2 linked regions of the Sus scrofa genome follow. The protein of the gene in region 2 interacts with the protein of the main gene of each other region in a biochemical or structural test. Links are inferred from orthologs where the notes say so. Each region holds a gene or a part of one and is shown on either strand. Other genes may lie near its edges.

Region 1 (10,642 bases), on a different chromosome or scaffold from region 2:
GGGATAAGCAGGAACCTCGCTGGTGGCTATAGCAGGCTTCTCCCCTAGCCCACCCCGACCTAGTATGTTCACAGTTTCCTGCCTGGCCAATAGCCCTCAACACCTTCAAAACCTGTTGCCTGAACTTTGGATCTCCCCATCACCACTGTCCCACTAAGAACAGAAGCCACAGGGATACTGGCCTGAGCAAGTGCACTAGGACGGCCCCTCCCTGCAGCCTCAGGTTTCCCAAGTTTCAGTCTCCCATTTGGGGGTTGGGCTCTACTCTCACCACCTTGACCCTTGGGCTGTTCCTCAATTTGCTAAGAACTTTCCAATCCAACAGGTTTAATCTCATAAGGCTTCCTAGAGAAGACCTTTCCAATAACGCATGACAAGAGACTTGTCCAGAGGCCAGAGGACAGTCCTCCTGAGATCATGGGATTCTGTCCCTCCTCATGGGGAAACTGAGGCTCAGAAGAGGAAGGTGGTCTCCATAGCAACTGAGAGATAAGAGGAGTTGCAGGGGGCAGCGAGGGTCTTTGAAGTCCAAAGCTCCAGCCAGTAACTCTCCCCTCCCACAGAGACGCAGGACAAGATGATGCTTTTCTCTAACATGAAGGGCTCAGCAGGACCGAGGGGATGACCCAGTCCCTTCCCTCAGAGGCTCACAGTCTCTCAAGATAGAGGAAAGAATCCAGAAACCAAGGCCTCACTCGGCTGAGCACTTGGAAGCAGATCCAGGAAGACCTAGGAGAAAAGGGGGTATTTGAAGGGCATGTGAGATCCCCCTCCAAGCCAAGAAAGGGAGGGCAAGGGAGGCTGTGAGGAGCAGGGTCATAGACTGAGTGGGGTTCAGGCAATGGGAACCCCAGAGAAGTGGGGCCTGCAGGGAACTGGCTTCCAGAAGCAAGACCTTCAAGTCTCTGAGCCCAGCACAGCACACAGTAAGTGCTCAACCATTTGGGGAGCAGTTTGATTCAGGGGGTCACAGAAAGGCATCTGAGCAAAGGAGTAGCTCTATCAGGCCTGTCTTTCCAGAACACTTTCCTTTCTCTGTCATCCCTCTTCACTCTCTCTGCTAGGTCATCACTTCCTCGCCCCCCTCTGCCCCCAAATGGCCCTCTGTGGTTATGCTTAAATTGGAAGATGTATGTGGAGCACTGAGTGGGAGGGCAGGGGTGGCCACCCTTCCATCTGGGACCCAGCTCTGCTCCCTGGGCCAGAAATGGTTTCCGGAGCCGGCTGTGGGACAGAGGGCGTTGCAGGGGTGCAGGATACGCTGCGTGGCCCAGAGCACTCATGTTCCCTGCCTCTGCACCCCCACACCAGATCAGGAAGGCAGGGAAGGAAGGGGGTGCAGCAGAAGTGGGGGAGGCTAAACCGCCAGCCTCCCTGTAGAGGGCATGAGTCCACAGTTGTCAGGGCCCTTGCTTGCAACGGGGCTGGAGCTTTTCCTTCACTCCTGAGGAGGCAGAGGGGCTCCAGAAATGGAGCAGTGGCCCAGGACAAGTAGGAGCTGTGAGTGTGATTTTGGCTGCATCCTGCCCTCCCCAGGGCCAGGTGGTGACCAGTGTCTCCTCTAGCTCCAGGGAGGTCTCTGAGCTATGCAGAGCCATTCTTCTGTTACTCCTGGAACCTCCTCCAAGGTTGGGACCCACCTGTCCCAAGTTGAAGCCTTTCGGCTTCTTGCACGGCCTCAGAAGACTCTGGATGTTGGGAAGGACTAAGGATCTAGTCTGGATGAGCTGAGCGACTTCTGGCATGCCATTGACCCTCTCTGAATGTTGCTCTCCCAAAGGCAGTTTTATAAACTTCCCCAAAGTACTTCTCCTTCTGGCCAGTTCAGCCAATGTCCACCAGGCCTCTGGAACAGGCTCTGTGCCGGGTGCTGGATAGCCAAGCAGACATAGCCCTGGTCCCAGCCAGAGACGTTCCCAGTATCACTGCCAGATCACTGCTTCACCCAGCTAACGTGCCCTGAGGCATGCAGGATGAGAGGAAACTGAGGCCCAGAGAGGTGGCCAGCAGTCCTCAAATGGCCCAGCCTGAACAAGGACCACCCACATAGAGGGTCTCTCTAGGCTGAGCAAGACCCAGTGTCAAGAACTAGGGGTCCCCCACCCAAGTCTCCCCACCACCACCCCAGGCAGGATCCAGTGTCTGAACTAACCCCTTTCCCACTCCTTCCTCTTTCCCGGCCCCCTCGTCCCTTCAAACCACAGGGCCCAGCCAGCCTCTGGAACGCGTGCCCAGGACCTCGGTGATATTTTGAGTTTAAGAAAACTTTGCAGTCGGCAGGAGCTCTTAAAGGTTATAAATAGCAGCAGCAGGAGCCCACGCCGGGAGAGGCGGAAACACGTGTCAAACACGCCTGGGAGGGGGGTATTCCGAGGCACACACGACCCCCCACTAGGGACCCACCAGGCTTCAGGGGATTTTACAACCACTGGAGCGGGAAGTCACACCCCACCCGGAAGGTGTCTGGGAAAGGAGACTCCGCTCTTGCCCCCAACCAGGGTCCCTGAGCAGTTTTCCAGATGGTCTGGGGCACGCAGGGGCGCTGCTGAAAGGGGTCTTGGGTGGGAGGTCTTGCTTCTATCCTCTCACTCCCTGCCCTGCATGAGAACCCCAGGGGTGAGAGGAGTTTTGGATGGAGTCCCCTCTAACCCCTGTCAGCAGTCGGGGCACAAGACCAGGGGGAAGAAGGGATTATTCCAAGGCACACAGGAGCTATGTAGCATTCAGACCCCTGGCCCACAGTTCTTTTCACCAAATGTTGCTGCTGCATCCCCTTCATTTTGAGGGACCACAGGATGATAGCTTACGCCACCCAATTAAGCCGAGTCAGGGGACTGCAGACAGCGTAGAGGGTACCCTGATATAAGTCAGCCCTCCTCAGTTGACGGTGAGCAGACACTAGGCCCTCATCTCTCAACAACCCATCCAGTCCCCAAGTTTCTACTTCTGATGAAGATGTGCCTTTGAAGAGATGAGAAGAGAGCACTAGAGAGGACAAGGGACTCCCTCCACTCTAAAGGGCTGCACACTCATGCACATCTTGCCAAGGTGTGGCTTGTGGACAACCCAAGGCCAGGTGTGGGGTCTTCACAAGGAGGTCAGCTCTGATTCCAGGGTTGCCTTGAAGGCCATTATGCTTTGAGGATATGCTCTCAGGAGCCTTCTCTGAGGGAACACAGCCAGGAAGACCCCTTTGATTTTCCCAACTGCACGTGCAGGAATTGTTGTTCCAATGCAAAGATCGGGAAGCTGAGGCATGTCTGAGGCTCCCACAGCCATCCCTAGTTCTGCCTCACTCATGCCCTACCTGCTGCCCATGGCCCCCAGAAGGTCTGGGGGTGGCAGCCAGGCCTGGCGTCCAGGCACTCTGAACCTCAGGGAGCCCCAAAGGGTTTATGGGGCTCCCAATGAATGGGTCTGTTGAGCTCAGAGGGGGCTGGGCCCAGGTAAACATGACTGGGTCTGAGCTGCCATTCTCCCCCTGCCTCCTTCCTCAGGACCCAGGACCAAAATACGACTTCCTGTCCCCGGAGCTGAGGGCAAGACTCACCCCTCAGAGCCCTAAGCTGGGGCCCACTGGAGGAACACAGCCTGGCCGGCACAGGCAGCCCCCAAGGCTCTAGGGGAGAGAGGACCTCAGGTTTTCAGATTCACAGGTATGCCCAGGACCCAAGCACTCGGTCATTTTATGGAGCCCCTTCAAGTCTTGAATTGCCCGTGTTAATAACATATCAGGAAACCGAGGCCACAAACAGGAAAGAGATGCACAGGGCAGGGCAGAACAGGCACTAAGCCCCAGCCTTTGACTTCCGTGGCAGTGAGGATGGGAGTCAGGGGTGTAAGTGGGCTCAGAGGAGGGAGAGGCTCCATGGGTGGAGGCTCAGGGCAGTGGGAAGCTTGACAGAGGGCAAAGGAGGTCTACCCTCTTGGACACAGCTGCCCAGTGACCTGTAAAGCTGAAATCTGCCCCGACCCCCTCCACACACACTGGCCCTGGTCACAGAACGGCCTACGTGCCCTGAGATACCCCACTGGAGCCAGACACTTGGAAACAGCTCAGGCCAGGGGCAGGAGCCCTGCAAGTACTGTTTGTCATAATCTCATTATGAGCCCCTGGGCAGCCCAGTCTACCCTCTAAGCCTCATTTTCCCTACCTGGAGGCCAGGTATTGACAAGTTCCCTGCCTCTCTTTCCAGCTTCTGAACTAGAAAGTACTTTGGAAACTATAAAGTGTTCTCCCCAGGATCCTGGAAGACCTGAGGAGAGGTCGCCCCTAGGGATGGGGGCCCTAAGAACGTGACCCAGTGGCTGGGGGTGGTTCCGGGCCAGCCGCCTCACATGCCAAGCACTGGGGGCTGTGGCTGGAATGCGTGGAGCAGCAGCTGCCACGTGAATCATTACACCTCGTCAGGCTGAGCCTGGGACTTCCAGACTCAAACCAGCTCAGACTGGGCTCAGGCAGAAGGGCAGTCTTCAATCAGGCTCTCTGGGCCCTGAGGTGAGGGTCCAGAATCTTGCATAGTCTCTTCCATCCTGTCTGCGCATGTCCTCACCCTCAGTGTCCAAGTCCAGCACTGATTCTGCTATAGCTCATTCCACAGAGCCACAGAGGGAGGTCATCCTGTCCACAACCCCCTGCCTCTGTGACCTATAACTACCTAAGCAGGCCCTGAGCCTACCTAGTACTTGGTGGGGTATATGTGGTAGGGGGGCAGCCCATGAAGCTTGCTGGCTGGTTTCAGACCTGAAGTCCATTTTCAGTGGGGAAGGAGTCAGATATAGGGTGGGCTGTGGGTCTGCAGGGATCAGGACAAGGGCTGGGTAGAGCAAGGGTCCCCACGTCTCTCTTAGCTGGGGGACACTGGGTAGCCAGTGCTTAGAGGGCAGACCTTCTCAGCCTCAGTCCTCTGCTTGTGACCTGGGTATGAACTACCCTCAGCCTCCACCCGATTTTTACAAAGGCCCAAAATCTGAATGAAGTCACTCATAGGGGCTGTGCTTATAACTCATGGTGGCCTGAAATTTCTGGGCTATGGAAAAGGCTAGAAGGGGCAGGCAGAGACACAGAAACAGACAGTAAGCTAGTTGGAGAAAGGGTTGGCAGAGCAGGGAGAGGACTACTGAGGCACACAAACACCTGAGGGGCTGAGCTGGCCTGGATGCCTGGCAGGCAAACCCATGGACAGTGGCAGGGAGGGCCTAACCCAGAGCACCTGAACACTGGTATGTTTGGACCTGCCTCTGCTCCCTGACCAGGGGTCTAGGACAAAGTCCTGGGCTGGTACATGGCTTGGTAAAAAATAATTAATTTTTCTTTTCAAGTGAAACTTTGACTCAGGCCTTTTCCTGTCCCAAACAGCAATATCCTGGCTTAGGCCTGAACCACAGAAGCCTCTCAGGGCTATCCATGGCCTCCCCATGGCCAATTTGAGTCTCCTCTGTGACTCCAAACCCTACTTGGAAGGTCTTGTGGGCTCCAGGTGAGTGGGTCTAGCCCTGGGAACCGGATGCAGTGAGGGACAAGGTTGGGGCACCATGCTGGGTTAGTGTGTGTATCTGTGCCTGTGGGGCAACCAAAGTATGCCTGCCAGGAGATAACTATGGAGCTGGTGTTACCGCAGCAGGGAGGCTGTGACTATGTGATGAGAAGGGATAGGGATCCTGTACCCCCAGTCACCTGCCCCACGAGTGCTTCCTGCTTGGGACAGGGCAACCCAGCCCCTTCCTGAGAAGTGAGAAAGCCAGGCTTCCTGCTGTAAGGGGAGGGGGCTGCTTGACAGGCTGCCTGGGAGCCTCCAATGACTCATCCGGGTGGGGGGTGTTTATGAGCAGCCGAAATGGCTGTAAAAGTGGCACCTCGGTTCACTTATGGCCTGGCCATCCCCTCCCCACCAGCCCCTTGCCTTGAAAAGCTTCCAGAAGGGCCTACAAACCTGGAAAGAGGTCTGGGGCTGAGGCTTGGTGGAGGCTCAGCCTGGGGTCAGGGTTCAGCCAGAGGTTAGAGGTCAGACCGGGATAAGGACTCAGCCTGGGGGTAAAGCTCAGTCTGGGATCAGGGCTGAGATTAGGATTCAAGCTGACTTCGGGGTTATGGGTGAGGGGATGAAGTGTGGGAGTAATCAGGCCAGTATTCCCAGAGAGCCTCCAGGTTAGGGAAAGGGGTTTTCTGAGGGAGTGGGGCCACGCTGCTGGGCTCAGAAAGCCTGTCTTTCCTGTTAGAATCTGGTCCCCACCCAGGCATCAGGGTCTGTGTACCTTGGCCAGAGCTCTACCGGTGATGGCAGTGCCAGCAGCAGAGGTCTGTCAGCTTAGGACTGCTGCAACAGAGTTAAGTCCCCCACCCTACCCCACCCCCACCCTGCTCTGGTTCTGAGCTCCAATGACAGCCTTGGTTCCTCCCTCTAGGCCCCAGCTTGGGGATCAAAGAGGGGAGTCCCCACAGGGACTCCCATTCCCTACCCCCAACCATGACTTTCCAAATGCCATTGAAACTGACCTGAAACTGACCAGAAACAGACCCTGGGGCTCTGGGGCCTGCCTGTCAAAAAGGGTGGGCTGTGCTCTGCCAGGCACTGGGGTGCTACCAGTTAATGTGTGACACACACCCCCACCACCACCATGGTAGCACTTTAACCAGAGGCCTGGGGGTGAGTTAGGGGGTCAACGGCCCCACCCACAGTGGTGGAGGAGTGAGGCATGTGAGCTATGGTTAGGGGAACAGCCCATTAGATCCCTCTCTGCAGCCCAATCTACAGCCCACCCTGATCTTCCTAAACACAAATATTGTTTGTTTCTCAATCTCAAGTTTTCTGGGTGTCAGATCTGAGAAGGACCCCCCCCATCAGCCCCTAGTTTTACCTCTCAGTTCCTCCAATCTGTCCATGAATGTTCTTTTCCTATTATCAAGGGGTGTAGGGTTGTTAGTGGTTGTCAAATTATAAAAATTAGAATCAAATTGCTTAGAGACAGATACAAAAGCTGAAGAAACACGTCTGTTCTTTACTTGCCTGTTCTGAGCACCTGAGCTCTGTCCCTGTTCCCTAAGAGCCCACACACCATGGGAAGCAGCCCCCAAACCACAGCTGCCCCCCAGTAATGGATGAAACGGAGACACAAGACGGGAGGGACATCCTCTACACCAGGCAGAGGAGTATGATCCTAGCTGAGGAAACTACAAAGGCAAAGGCAGAAAAGTGAATATGGAGAGAAGGACAGGAATCTAGTGAACGGTACTCATTGGAGAGAGTCACTTTGGGAAGAAACTTCCTCAAACAGCACAATCCTTAAATACCAGGACCATAAACTTGAAGAGAGTATGGCCATAGAAATATAGGGAGAAGACAGATGGGTACAGTCTGGGAGACAGGTAGGTTTGAGCAGAGGGAGGGAGGGTTCCCCAGAGAGCCGGATGCAGCTGGATTCCAGTGGCCTTAGGGCTTGGATTTGGGCACTCATTGACACTGAAGAGAGGGGCCATCCCAGAGATGGAGGACTGGTCTGGGGCTCTAAGGAGCTCAATTTCCACAGGCTGAGCTTGAAGGGCCCTCAGAGCACAGGGGTCTCTGGGGAACCCAGAGGGATAACCACCCTTGAAGGCACTAAAATGGTAAGGTTAAAAGTGCCCTTTGAAAGAGCTGGTCAGCTCCCCATTTTACAGATGAGGAAACTGAAGCTCAGACAGCAGGGAGTCTTGTGTCCAGGATACACAATTGGTAAGTGGATGAGCTGGGGTTGCCACTTAACCTGGATATTTCCCAGTCACATTAGCTTTCACCTGACCCTCCTTAAAGCCCTCTGCTCCGTGCACCTACAGGCCCTCTCTGCACCTCAGCTTCCGGCTTGATACTGCTTGGTGTCCGTCCAAGGCCCCCTCCTCTGAGCGTCCCCTTCCAGGCGGGAGAACATAAGCTCCACCTCCGTCTGGCCCCTGCCCCAAAGTCTCCTTTCGCCCTTCCCCCAAGTTGAGAGTCCCCAGTGGACCAGAACCAGCCAAGAGCTTTGGCGGGTGTGAAGGGGTGGGAGAGGGAGGCAGAACCCCAGGGTGGGGTCCGGGCTTAGTAAGGGGTCTTGCGGCCTCAAGCAGCCAGGGGTGGAGTCAAGAGGAGGAGCTAGAGAGGCAGGGCCCCAAGTCTGGATGGGTCCAGACTCCGAGAGACCCAGACCCAGAGACTGGGGAGGGAGGGAGCGGGGCGTGAGGCCAGAGACGCAGGCAGGGACAGGGGCGGGTCTAGGGCACTGCACACCGACCCACTCGGGAGGTTCCTGAGAGTGGGGGTCCAGGCGAAGGCGGGGCGGCCGGGAGAGCCGCGGCGGAGTCAGGCTCAGGGCCGGCGGCAGAGCAGGCTCCCCAGGGATCTTGGTCCAGGCTGAGCGGGAGTCCCACGGGCCGACGGATCCCGCGGGCGGGCGGGGTACCTCCCGTGAAGAGGGCCTGCTTTGAGGCTAAAGGCCGCTATTCACCGGCCGTGGCCGGACGATCAGAAAAAAATAACGTCTGTGCCTTCCCGGAGAGGAGAACGAAGCGGCAGCAGCGGCCCGGGCTATGTTCCCGGACCCCGATGTCAGAGCTCCCCGGCCCCGTCCCCTCCACACTCACATCCCGCCGCTGTGCAACCTCCGGCCGCGGCCTCTAGAGAAATGTCCCGGGGCAGGGGGCAGCGAGCTCCGCTCTGCGGCTCCACACACCCGTGTCGGAGGCGACCGGGTGGGGGGGCGGGGGCGGGAGAGGCCCAGGGAGGGCGCGGGGGAGGGAAGAGGCGCCCGAGCCGAGGGGGGAGGGGGAGCGGCAGACGCCGAGGCGAGGGACGCGCGCGGCGGGCGGCGGCTCTGAGAGCGGGCCGGGCGGGGGGCGCTGGAGACCAGGCCGGCCAGGGGGGATCCCGAGAGCTCCATGAAGTTCCCCTGGGGCCGCGGACGGGGCGCTGTCCTGGGGAGGCTGTCGGGGGGTCCCCGACATCCATGGCTAGGCGGGGGCCGCGGCGGCGCGCTCGGAGTAAGTCGGGGTTGGGGGCTGGCACCGAGGGGAGGGGGGCCGGAGTTGAGTAGGGTGACTCCGGGCCTGATCCGGGCGGAGGGACTGGTCTGTCTCGGTGTCACTCGGCGGCGCCTCCTCGGACCCGGTGGAGCCGCCAGCCCCGCGCCGCTCGGCTCAGTGGCTTTTTTGGAAACTTGCAAATGTTTTCGTAGAGAGAAAAGGGGGAGGGGAGGGAGGGAGCGAGGGAGTGACCGAAACGGAGCTCGGGGCTGCTGGAAGAACGGAGGCCAAGGCCGGGGGAGCCAGAGACGGACTGACAGACAGGCAGACTGACCGAGCGTCCCGGCCGCAGGCGCGCTCTAGCGGCACGGGCGCAGGCGGGGCTCCGGCGGAGGATGGGGCTGGAGTGTTGTAGGCGGCCGCGGACGGGATGGGGATCAGAGGGACCAGAGGGGCACGGAGCTGGCGGCCGGATCACCAAAGGGCTCAGTGTCGTTGCAAAGTTGGGATCGCGTACCCAAGCTGCACGCCCCAAGAGGCGCAAAACGTGCCCCCCGCCCCGCTCGGTCCCCCTACTTGTGCTAGCCGCGGAGCTAAAAATAACAGCCCCGTGAGCCCCCAGCAGACCGCGACCCCAACCCCTCCCCCGACCCCACCCCCACTGGGCGTGGGGCAAAGCCACAGCTCCTAGTTCCCCAAAAGAAAAAGAGAGAGAGAAAGAAAAGGCGGCGCGGAAGGGGGGGCGCGGGAGGGGGGGCGGGGGGCGGGCCGGGGGCGGGGGGCCCGGCCATATGGATGTGATTTCTCCGCTCCGAGGCAGACGGGCAGCTCCGCAGCTCTCGGCGCCCGCCCGCCGCCCGCCTGGCCCCGGGCTGCCTCCCTTCCTCCCTCCCTCCCTCTCCCTTGCGCTCTCTCGTTCGCTAGCCCTCGGCGCATGGGCCCCGCGCCGGGCCCCGGGGCCTCGGGCCGCCGGGCCTCCGGGGTCCCCTAGGCCCTAACGTGGGCGGGGCAGCCCTGCCTGAGGCAGCTCTGTACCCCACCACCACCACCACCACCACCACCAGGGCCGGCGGCGGCTGCAACCCCGAGGGACGGGGCCCTAGGCGGTGGCAATGGGGGCCGCCCGGATCGCGCCCGGCCTGGCGCTCCTGCTCTGCTGTCCGGTGCTCAGCTCGGCATACGCGCTGGTAAGTCCCCAGCTCGCACTCCTGAACAGGCTTCTGGCTTGCTCTGGGGTCCCGGGGGATGGGGGCCCCGGGGGAGGGGGGGTGCGGTCCCCAGGGTCAGAGGCTTGAGTTCCCCCAGTAATCTGAATTTTGGGTAGGGGTCCCCTCTGGCCCGTGATTCTCGGTGCCTGCTGTTTCTGAGGTGTCTACAGTCTGGGTTCCAGATGCCTAAGGTCTCCCTATTTCTGCAAGTTAGGTTTGGGGTCCCAGTTTTGGAAATCTGTGGTTAGGGTTCTCCTATCTTCTGCTTCTGTGAGCATCACTGCTCTGTGTCTCCCTTGAAAATGACAGTGTGATATAGCAGAACACTGGACTTTGGCTCTGATGTATGATCCCACAGACTTTGCTCTGGGGGCCTCTGTTTTCCGCAAGTTTCGACTGCAATGTGGGACACAGGGCTGTGGGTCTGAGGTCAGGGGGTAGGATTTAAGGACCCCTCCAG
Region 2 (10,206 bases):
CGGTCTGAAAGAGAATGGAAGGCTTAGACGCAGGTTCTTCCACCGGGGGAGGCAGCCAGGCACAGACACACCGAGCCTGGGACCCAGGGAGACCCTTCCCCCCGCCCCCCCCCCGCAAACCCAGACGTGCAGACGGGGAAGCCGAGGCTTAGCCGAGCCCCGCGATTGTCCCTTCCCGGCCCCTCCCCAGAGAAGAGCCTGCGCCCAGGCGAGGCCCCCGCAGCCCCTGCAGCCCTTGGAGCCCGGCCCGCTTCGGCAGCCCCGGGAGAGGAGGGCGGGAGCCGCCGGAGCTGGGGGTGGGGGGAGGAGCTGCGGGCCTTGCGGTCCAGCCGCCCACCTGGCCCGGGAGGCTCAAGGCCTGCCCCCGGGGTGCTGCTATCCATGTGCTGCCTGGGGTGCTGGCCGTGACCGGCTCCCGCCTCCTGCCCGTCGCAGGTGGTGCAGCGGATCAAGGCTGTGGAGGGCCAGACGCGGCTGCTCGTTGTGGACAAGGAGACGGACGAGGAGCTCCGCAGGCGCCAGCTGACTTGCACCGAGGAGATGGCCCAGCGAGGGCTGCCGCCTGCCCTTGACCCCTGGGAGCCGAAGGCGGACTGGGCGCCCGCAGGCAGCCTCAGCGGTGAGGCCGGCCAGAAGGTACGGCGCCTCTGCCCACAGGGATCACCTGGCCTCTCCCAGGACCGCCTTCTCGGCGCCTCTGGTCGTCTCCACCAGTGTGCGTCTCTGGACCCCTCCTGGACCCCTGGTGGCCACTCTCTCGGCCACTTGGAGCCACTCTTTCTGTCCTCGGCCTGTGTTCTAAACCGCATGGGCTCTGGGCAGCCTGGACCTGGTCCCTGGCCCCCAGGAGGCTCGTCATCGGAGCCCCTTGTCCTTGGAAGGGTCCCTTTGACCAGCCGCCCCCTCCCCGGCCTTGGGGCTGAGGAACCTGGGGAGGGGCTGCTGGCGTGTGCTCAGCTCTGTGCCTGTGGTGGGTGTCTGTCTGTCCAAGGAGCCTGCTTGTGCCATAAAGACTGGAGTGGGGGCGCTGGCCCTCCTCTGTGGGGGCAGCTGAGGAGACCCTCTGGGCTAGGTCCGCAGCCGGGGGCTCTACAGGCATTGGGGCGCTTCCCCTTCTCCCTATGTCCCCTCCAGACAGGAAGCCTTGCTGGGAAAGCACTGGGGTGGGGTCCAGGGGGCCTGTTCTGTCTCTTTCTCAGTAGCTGGGCCCGGGGGTGGCCCGACCCCTACCGGGACAGCATCTGGAGGTCAGGGGAAAGAGCTGCCTGCCCTGCCCCCACGACTTTTATTTTCTTAAAGAAGAAAATCCCTTAAAAGGGGACTCAAATCCAGGGGTTACCCAGATCCCCCTTGGAGAACCCCGGCCTAGGGCTCCTGGAGGTATGAATTCTGAACTTTCTGGGTGTGCGGGGGACCTGGACATCTGTCTTGTCCCTTTCCCCCATGCCTCCCGTGAACTGGGTCTTGTGGGGCCTCAGGCTTTTCCTGGGGGATGGGATTCGCAGCAGAAAGGCAGCCTGGGCATAGGCCTGGGCACAACCCCTGTGACCCCTGTTGTTTTCTGTGGCTGGAGGGCAGGCTCCTGGTAGTAGTCAAGGCCACGGGGCCAGGTCCTGGAGTCTGGACTTGGCCCTGGGGCCCCTGAAGGCCAGAGGAGGGCTGTCAGGGTCAGATCTGTGATTTCAGGGGGGCCCTGGGCCGGTGCACTGGCTGAGCCCACCTCGCAAGCTGGGGCTGGAGCGGCCCTCCTTCCCCGGGCACCTCAGCCCGGGAGGAAGCCCCCCACCCCCACCCCGGCGCTTGTCCATTGATTTAGACACAAAGCTGAGTTCACCTTCCTGTGGAAAAATCTGCCCGCGGGGCCTTATCTGGAGGGTGGGGGCACCTTGTCCTTGGGTGGGACCTTCCCCTCCACTATTTCAGGCTCTGGGGGCTGCAGGAAGCTGGGGGAGGGGTCTTCCTCTGGGCATATTTTTAGAGTAACAAAGTGGGACCCGCCTGGCAGGTCTCCTGGGGGTTGGGGCTTGCCCGGGCACAGGGACCCCAGAAGGTCAGGGGAGTCCCTGGGCACGGGGCTTCTCTTCTCCCTCCCAGACAGAAACCTGGACATTCATTGGCTGAGCTCAGAGCTTTAGCAGCAGGAGCTGGGCCTGCGCTGAGCTCCACAAACCAGGCTTAGCCCCCACCCCCCAACCCCTCTATCCCCCACCAGGCTTAGCCCCCAATCCACTGCCATCCCCACCCCTCCATCCCCCCTGCACAAACCAGGCTTAGCCCCCCACCCCTCCATCCCCCATCCCCCCTGCACAAACCAGGCTTAGCCCCCCACCCCCCACCCCTCCATCCCCCATCCCCCCTGCACAAACCAGGGTTAGCCCCCCACCCCCCACCCCTCCATCTCCCATCCTTCCTCCACAAACCAGGCTTGGCTGCCCCCCCACCACTGTGGGCTGTCAGGGATTCTGGGAGGATGGGGCTTCCTTGTAGAGCTGTGCCCCGAAGGGTGACAGCCCTGGGACAGGAGAGCTGGGGGGGTTGCTTTAGTGCAGGGTGAAGGGCCACCCTCTGTGCCCTGGAGGGATGGGCTGAGGTGGGTGCCAGGGCCCTGTGGGTCCCTCTGGCCCTCTCAGCCTCAGTCTCCTCCTGTCCTGGGCAGGGGGAGGTGGGGCAGGCAGGGGACATGGATGTGGCTGGCCCCTCCCTTTGGGGCCTGTCAGGGACTCATCAGTGGTGACTCAGCCTGGGGTTCACACTGGGCTGGGGTGGCTGCAGCTGCAATGCAGCTGATCCTGACAGTGACAACTGCGACCCGCCCCCAAACACAGCCGGGGCTGCGGGGGTGTGAGGGACCCAGGCCCTCCAGTGCTGCGGCTCCGGGGCTGAGAGTGGTTGAGGTGACAGCGTCCTGCGGACAGTGACTGCCTGGTATAGGACCTGATGCCTACGAGAGGGCTTTCTGGGCTCCCCGGTTTCTGTGCCCCGTCTCCCCATGAGCTGCAGCGGGGCTGTCTTATGTTTGGGGGCCAGGGTCTCCTATCTGCCGCCTTGTCCCCCCAGCCCTGGGTCCTGGGAGCAGGGCAGGGCCTCCTAGCAGTTTCCTTCCTTCCTTTCTTGGGACGGAAACCAGGCCAGTGCAGGGCGCCGGGCTGGAGCTTGAGCAGGGGAGGGGGCCTCAGCCACCACCCTGTTCTCCAAGGTGACTCAGCCTTAGGTCCCCACCCGTCCCTGGGGAGCCTGGGCCACGGTGGGAGGTGGATAAATGGGGTGGCCGCCTGGGCTGGCCAGAGAGCTCAGGCCACTGCAGCTGGACGCAGGTCGCCTGCCACTTCTGTCCCGCCTCCCATGGCCCGCTCTGGGACTGCCACGCCGCCCGCCCCAGCCCCGGGAGCCCCTCCACAGGGCCCAGCTCAGGGGCTTGTGCAGGTCAGGTGGGGTGGGGGCCGGGTGGGCAGTGAGGACACCAGCAGCCAGCCTGTGTCCCTCAGGCTTGGGAGAGGGGACTCTGGGGACACTGGTGGACCTCGGGCCCAGTTGCAGGCTGGACCCGGAGCAACAATGGGAGCCTTTCTCTGCTCGGGCTGGTGAGTCACCATGTGTGTGTGTGGGGGCACAGCCTGTCTCCGGGGGTACCCCCACCATCTGGGGGTGCCAGCCTCTTTGTCTGGTCCCAGGCATGGCTGGGAGACCAGGGTTTGTCCAGCTCTGGGCCTGCGTGGCTGGGAACGGGGTCTGGGAGCCCAAGGGCCTTGCTGGGAGGTGGTAGGAAGTGCTCTGAGCCAGGGCGGGAGCCAGGAATGTGAGCAATGCTGGGCCAGGCTGGCCCCCTCCAGGCCCAAGGCTCTGGCCTCCTCGCTGGGCCTCCCTGCCAGGGTCGGCCCCCACCCCGACGGCATTGCAGCCCCTCAGCCTGAGGGTCTAGTCCGAGCACTCCTTGGACCCTGACCCTAATGAGAGAGGTCTGGGCCGATGTTGGAAGAACCCCCCACCGGGCTGTGTGGGGAGAGGCGGAATGCCGGGTTGAGGCAGGGAGACGGTTTCAAACTGGATGTGACTTCATGTGGCCTGGCCTCGTGGCCCCGGATGCCCCCCCATCCTGCTTCCCGTTTGGGGGCCTTGAGAGGCCACGCCCTGGAACCACTGTGGAGGGCGTGGGAAGAGGCCACAGGGCTGGTGCTGAGGGCTGGCCTTTCACACGGCTGGTCACTGCGGGTCTGTGTGCAGCCTGTTTGTGAGCGTGTGTTTGCAGAATGGTCCCTGGGACCCTGCGATGTGCCTTGGCCCCCAGGCCCTTGTCCACACGCCAGGCGTGGCGTTGCCACACATCCACCGTCTCTCACGGCCTGGCTCTGCTCCGTCAGACCAGCAGCCCTGGGACCTGTGCTCTGACAGCCCGGACCCAAGAGGGGCCGCAGAGCCGCACCCCTGTGCTTCCAGGCGTGTCTGGGCATGAGTGGGTCGCTGAGGTGCCAGAGAAGCCAGGCTCTCACAGTTCAGCCCATGTCCCCTGGCTGAAGCCTTGGGGGACCGAGGCACCATGCCTGGTTCCTGGAGTTGCTGGGGTTGAAGGGCACATGGTGGCCCGCAGTGGGGTTTCTGAGGGGACAGGCTTTGGGGTCAGGGAAGGGGTCCCGGAGGAGGGTCACAGGCTGGACTGGCAGAGGGTGTCCCCCACAGGTGGGAAGGCCCGGGGACCAGGGCGAGGCAGTCCCTTGTGAGAAAGATGCTGTCAGATGGGGGCTTTGGGCTCCGAGGCCTGGAGGGGGTCCTCCCTCAGCGCCACCGCCAGCCGGCCCAGGGTCCCCCCACACAGGGAGGCGTGGGGAAAGGGCCCTGGTGAGCACCCCCAGCCCACCCCACTCCGCCCGGTGCTGTTCACCTGCCGGCTCCCTGCTCGGAAACCTGAGCTCCCGGCCGCCCGGCCGCCGCCATATTGGGCTGACACCTGCTCCGTGCAGGGGTCGCTGCCTTGGGCCGTGGCCGGGTGGGCCTCCTGGGCCTGGGCCCCTGCCTGCGCGCCCCCACCCCGCACCCCCGGCCCGGAACCCTCCTGCACGATGCCAGAGGTAAAGCGAGGCAGGGCCCTGGGGGGTCGAGGGCCTTCCCAGGGGAGCAGGAAGGTGGGAGGCAGGCCCCGCCCTCGCTCCCCTCTCATCCCCGGTGCCTGTGCCTGTCTGTCGTCGAGGCTAGGCGGGGGTGGCTCCTGCTGGCGCTGGAATGTGAAAGCAAACACAGCCCGCCTGCTACCAGCCCTGTGGAGACCTTTGGGAGAGTAAACAAAACTGCCTGCCTGCTGGAGCCAGCCCCACACTTCCGGATGGGGTTGCGGCGGGAGGGGGGGGGGGAGTGTGACAGCAGGCAGGGCCCATGGGGACAGCCCTCCCGGAACACTGATGAGCGGTGGCTCGTCTCACCTGGTCTCTCCGAGGACCCGGGTCTGTCCTCAGCCCTGTCCTTGAGCCAGCCGATTCTCCCAACACCCCTGGAAGGTCCCTGACCCCCTTGTGGGTCCTTTGGGGTTTGGAAGCTAAGGCTTCGTCCAGGACCCCGAAGCTGCATCGTCACAGGCAGCCTAAGAGGTCCCCCTGCCGCCCCAGGCATGGGTGTGGTGCTGTAGGCCCCTGAGACCAGGGCTGCCAGTCAGGTAGGGGCACGATGCTGAATGTGGGGTGGCTTCTCTCCAGCCGCCTCCACTGCTGCGTTCACAATTGGTGTCAGCTCCTCCAGGGGTGGGAGGTAAGGCCTGGAGCCTCATCCCACATCCCCTGTGCCTGCAGGATGTCAACGGGCCCCTGAGGGAGCTGCGCCCAAGGCTCTGCCACCTGCGAAAAGGCCCCCAGGGTTACGGGTTTAACCTGCACAGCGACAAGTCCCGGCCTGGACAGTACATCCGCTCCGTGGACCCAGGCTCACCTGCTGCCCACTCCGGCCTCCGAGCCCAGGACCGACTCATAGAGGTACCGCCATGGAGGCTTCGGGGTGCTGGCTGCCCTGTGTGCGCCTCTGTGCCTGGCCCCTTCTGTTTGTGTCTGGGCCCACGGCCCCCCCATGTGTGTCCCCGCCGGGTCCTTCCCTGTCTGCGCAAACGTGTTCCGAGCCCCAGGTCCTCCCGGGAGGAGGGGAGATGCTGGGAACCTGAGCTGCTGCTTCTCTGGCTACCCTGGCTGGTGACAGCGTTGATGAATATTTGATGCCACACCTGGCCAGGTAGCCCGGGGGGCTGGTGGGGCCCTGCCCTGCCCTCAGGCAGCACTGACACCGTGCTGGCGGTGGCAGGTGAACGGGCAGAATGTGGAGGGGCTGCGGCACGCGGAGGTGGTTGCCTGCATCAAGGCGCGGGAGGACGAGGCCCGGCTGCTGGTGGTGGACCCCGAGACGGATGCGTACTTCAAGCGGCTGCGGGTCACACCCACCCAGGAGCACATGGAAGGTGGGTGGCCGCCCTGGGGGCCAGGGCTGGGGAGAAGCCTCGGGGGCAGAGCCATTGACACACTGTCCCCACAGGTCCACTGCCATCACCTGTCACCAATGGGACCAGCTCAGCCCAGGTGAGAGGGTGGGAGGGGACAGGGCTGGCCCAGGAGACCATACGGGGCACCTCTGGGAGTCCCCAGGCTTGACAGAGCCCCTCCCGGATCTGTCCTTGTGTAGGCGCGGTTGGGAGACCCTGTCCGGCCCAGTCACTCCAGCTCTAATACTCCTATGGGTCCCTTCCAGCTCAGCCACACCCTCGCCCAGGGTGGGGGTGGGGACAGGGGGCACCTACTGTGCCGAGTAGATGCTCCGTGGCCGCTGCCAAGTGGAGGAATAAATGCAGCTCTGCTGCTGTGTGTGGGGGCCCTCCCGGCCCCGGGCCCTAAAGCCACACCTTACCTTGGTTTCCCAGCTCAATGGTGGCTCCGTGTGCTCGTCCCGAAGTGACCTGCCCGGCTTAGACAAGGACACTGAGGTAGCTGGTGCCCCTCCACCTCCACTGCTGTGGTCCCTCCCTGGGGGGCCTGGAGCCTTGGGGGCGGGTGTCCCCGGAGCTGTCCGCCTGGGCGGTGAGGCCACCACCGCTGGGAAGCCCTCCTGAGCCTGCTGCCCGGTGGCCTCTGGTGTGCGTTCAGTGGGAAGGGTCACCCGGCTGGGGGCTTGGGTCCAGGGCTCACTCTGGCCACCTGGCCACCGTGTCCACCCCTAGGACAGCAGCACCTGGAAGCGTGACCCTTTCCAGGAGAGTGGCCTCCACCTGAGCCCCACGGCGGCTGAGGCCAAGGAGAAGGCGAGGGCCACCAGGGTCAACAAGCGGGCGCCACAGATGGACTGGAACCGGAAGCGTGAGATCTTCAGCAACTTCTGAGACCCCCCACCCTCCGCCGCAGCCGCCGCCTGGTCCCCAGCCGGGCCTCCTCTGGGCATGGACCTTGGGCCTTGCCCAGAGCGCCCCGAGCCTCAGTGGACTGCAGCGGGGGCACCTTCGCTCGCTAAGCCGTGGTGGTCCCACCACCCCCCATGAACCAGCCCGTGCCCCAGTGAGCCCCCGTCCTGCCCCCTTCCCACGGGGTGCTGGGGAGCGGGCAGAGGAAGCCCCTGAGACGGGAGGGACAGAGACACCCAGAGAGGTGGGCTGGGGAGGGGAGGCTGGGGTGACCCGCCAGGCCGGGCCCTTGCTGCTCTGCCTGGGCCTGCTGACTTAAAGGAATTTGTGTTTTGGCTTTTTTTCCAACACGAGCTCTGGCTCCACACATGTTTCCACTTAATACCAGAGCCCCCACCCCCATCCCCTCAGGACGTGCTCTCTAAATAATTGCAATAAAACAAACCTTTCTCTGCAAACCATTTCCTCCCACCTCCCTCAGCAGCAGCCTTCCCCGAGGGAGTCCCAGGGCCTTCCAGGGGCAGAGTTCTGGGGCCCCCAGGCCGTGTTCACGCAGGCTTCGGGGAGGCTAGGAGCCCCACGTGGCTATAAGAGCTAAGAGCTGCCTCGCTGCTCAGGCCCTGCCCTCCCTGGCGTGGGGGTTGGGTCGGGGGCAGGGCCTGGGTTCTTGGTGGGGCCCGAGATGGAGAACTTCGGCCCTGCCCGAGGAGGGCAGCCTGTAGACAGGCCCCTTGTCCCTGCACGGCAGCCCCCAGGAAGGTCCCCAAGCTCTTGGCTCGCCTGCCCTGAGCCGCCCCTGAAGATGCCCCACCGACTCCGCCTTCCTTCCTGCCCAGAACCAGACCGACCCGGCATCGCTGTCTGCCCTAAAAGCCATAGCGCATGCGCGCCCTCAGAATAAATAGGCCTTCCTTGTATCCTGGCTCTCTGTTCACCCTGAACTTTCATTGCAGGGGTTGGGGGTCATTTTCCTGGCAGGGAGGCAGCAGCCCGGCAGCTCCCCAAATCTCAGCTGGTGCACACGGAGACCGGGTCCTGAGCGGCCCCTCCCCCATTCCCTGTGCGGGGGAGGGGGGGGCAGCCCCACCCCTCAGCTCCTGCGCCCTCCTCAGCTCATGGGGACCCCGGTGCCTCAGGGCCTACCCCCTTTCACCAGCACCTCCTGGTGAAGGCTTCTGGGCCCCTGGCACCCCCAGCAGGTTCACACAGGTCCAGCCCCCTGCCCATGCTGCCCTGCTTGGGCCTGCTGGTGTCCCTTGGAGGCCAGGTGGCTCTGTAAACACCGGGGGTGGGGCCTCTTGGCACAGGCTGGGTTCTCCGGGTGCCCAAGTTCAGGCGGGTGTGTGTGTTCCCAGCGTCCCAGCGGTCTTCCCCACAGCTGGCTGCAGCTGGATCCCATGATTCCCCCCTCCCCCACCCCCACCCGCACTCAGCCCAGATTGTCACGTCCCCATCCCGGCCTCCCAGGCAGCCCGGTCCCAGACACACGTGAGCACCGGCGCACACACAGCTCACGCGTGTGCTTTCCAGCCAGCCCCCAGCCCCTAGGGGTAGAAATCAGCCAGACCCTGACTGCAAACACCCCCAAGCTTTATTACAAACAGGCTGCGAATCCCTAGCAGAGGCACATAACAGACGGTGGCCAGAGTGGCCCAGGGCAGAGGTTGCAAGCCTTCAGAGTCCCTGTGCAGCCGGGCACAGGGCCCGGTTGAGGCAGGCCTGGCAGCGGGGGCGGACGGGCAGGCAGGTCTGCTGGCCGAAGCCCACTAGCAGTCCATTGATCTCACTCCATAGCTCCCTGTGGGGGTGGGATCCATCAGTGTGGGGGTGAGGCTGAGGGAGGTGGGCCGCCCCGCCCCTACCCTGTGACACCTGGGCAGCCACTCCTCCAAGGCAGTGCGGGTCTTCTCAGGGGACTTGGTTGCCTTCTTGGTCCACTTGAGTCGGCCGGCGATTCTGTGTACGTGTGTGTCCACTGCTGCTCGGGGACCAGGCAAGCTGAACACGGGGCAGGCTCCCCCGCGCAGACTGCCCCCTCCCTGCCCGCAGCTCCGGGCCAGGAGTCTCCCTGGCCCTCCTCCCTCCCCCGCTTCTGAGGAGGAGCCAGGATGGGTGCATGGGCCACCCCTGCTGCTGGGCAGGGGCTGAAGCCAGACCCAGAGGACTAGGACTTCTCCTTGGGGTACAGGCAGCGGTGCCTTCTGGCCCAGGTGCTGGCTGTGGGTGCCAGGCTGGATGGCACTAGCTGGGCCCAGTGGGCTGGCAGGAAGTCACTGCCACAGAGCCAGCACCTGTCCTTGCACAGTCAGGGACAGAGCGGGGACGAGGCCAGGCCAGCTGCAGGCACCGTCCACCTGGGCTGCACCCCCTGCGCACCCAGGCCCCCCTCCCAAACAGATGCAGTCCCTGCCTCCCCTCCTAAGTGTTGGCCAGCTTGGGCCGCACATCCCTGCACCAGCTCACCACCCCAGCTGCTCGCTGCCTTGAGAGAGAGACTCCCCACACGGCATGGGGAGCGCGTGCAGACTGAGAAGTCACACCTTTGGTCACCCAGCCTGCTTCTTTCTCTGAAACCCGGGGTGGGGAGGGGTGACCAAGCCCCTTAAGTTACCCAGAAGCCCAGCTTAGAGCCACAGCCAGGTGCGTGAGCTCCCGTGGCTGGTCTGGGGGCTCTGGGGCCCAGCTCCGAGAGGGCAAGTGCCCTGCCTGGGGTCCCCTCGCTGGGATGGCAGAGCTGGGATGGCTGCCGCATCCCACAGTTCTGGCTTTCTAACTGAGGGGGCTTCTTGGGAAAACTCCTGGGGAGGGGGCCCCCGCCCTCCCTGCGGTCTCCGCAGGTGGCCTGGCCC

The links. The genes of interacting proteins can lie anywhere in the genome.
Region 1: the proteins of SLC9A3R2 (region 2) and PTH1R interact in a test that uses a peptide from one of them, tested with the Homo sapiens proteins (2 studies listed by BioGRID and IntAct, with this or other methods). The link is inferred for Sus scrofa from reciprocal best matches to the Homo sapiens genes NHERF2 and PTH1R.

The regions. Positions count from the first base shown.
Region 1 is NC_010455.5:29,744,549-29,755,190, forward strand, and holds the start of PTH1R (parathyroid hormone/parathyroid hormone-related peptide receptor precursor), read left to right. Parts: upstream 1-5,391; 5' UTR 5,392-5,480; intron 5,481-10,038; 5' UTR 10,039-10,086; coding exon 10,087-10,161; intron 10,162-10,642.
Region 2 is NC_010445.4:39,940,439-39,950,644, reverse strand, and holds the end of SLC9A3R2 (Na(+)/H(+) exchange regulatory cofactor NHE-RF2), read left to right. Parts: intron 1-435; coding exon 436-636; intron 637-2,560; exon of another isoform or gene 2,561-2,937; coding exon of another isoform or gene 2,938-3,423; intron 3,424-5,774; coding exon 5,775-5,954; intron 5,955-6,273; coding exon 6,274-6,427; intron 6,428-6,501; coding exon 6,502-6,545; intron 6,546-6,883; coding exon 6,884-6,946; intron 6,947-7,180; coding exon 7,181-7,339; 3' UTR 7,340-8,274; downstream 8,275-10,206. Other genes in the region: NTHL1 (endonuclease III-like protein 1), read right to left, coding at 9,032-9,155, 9,230-9,335.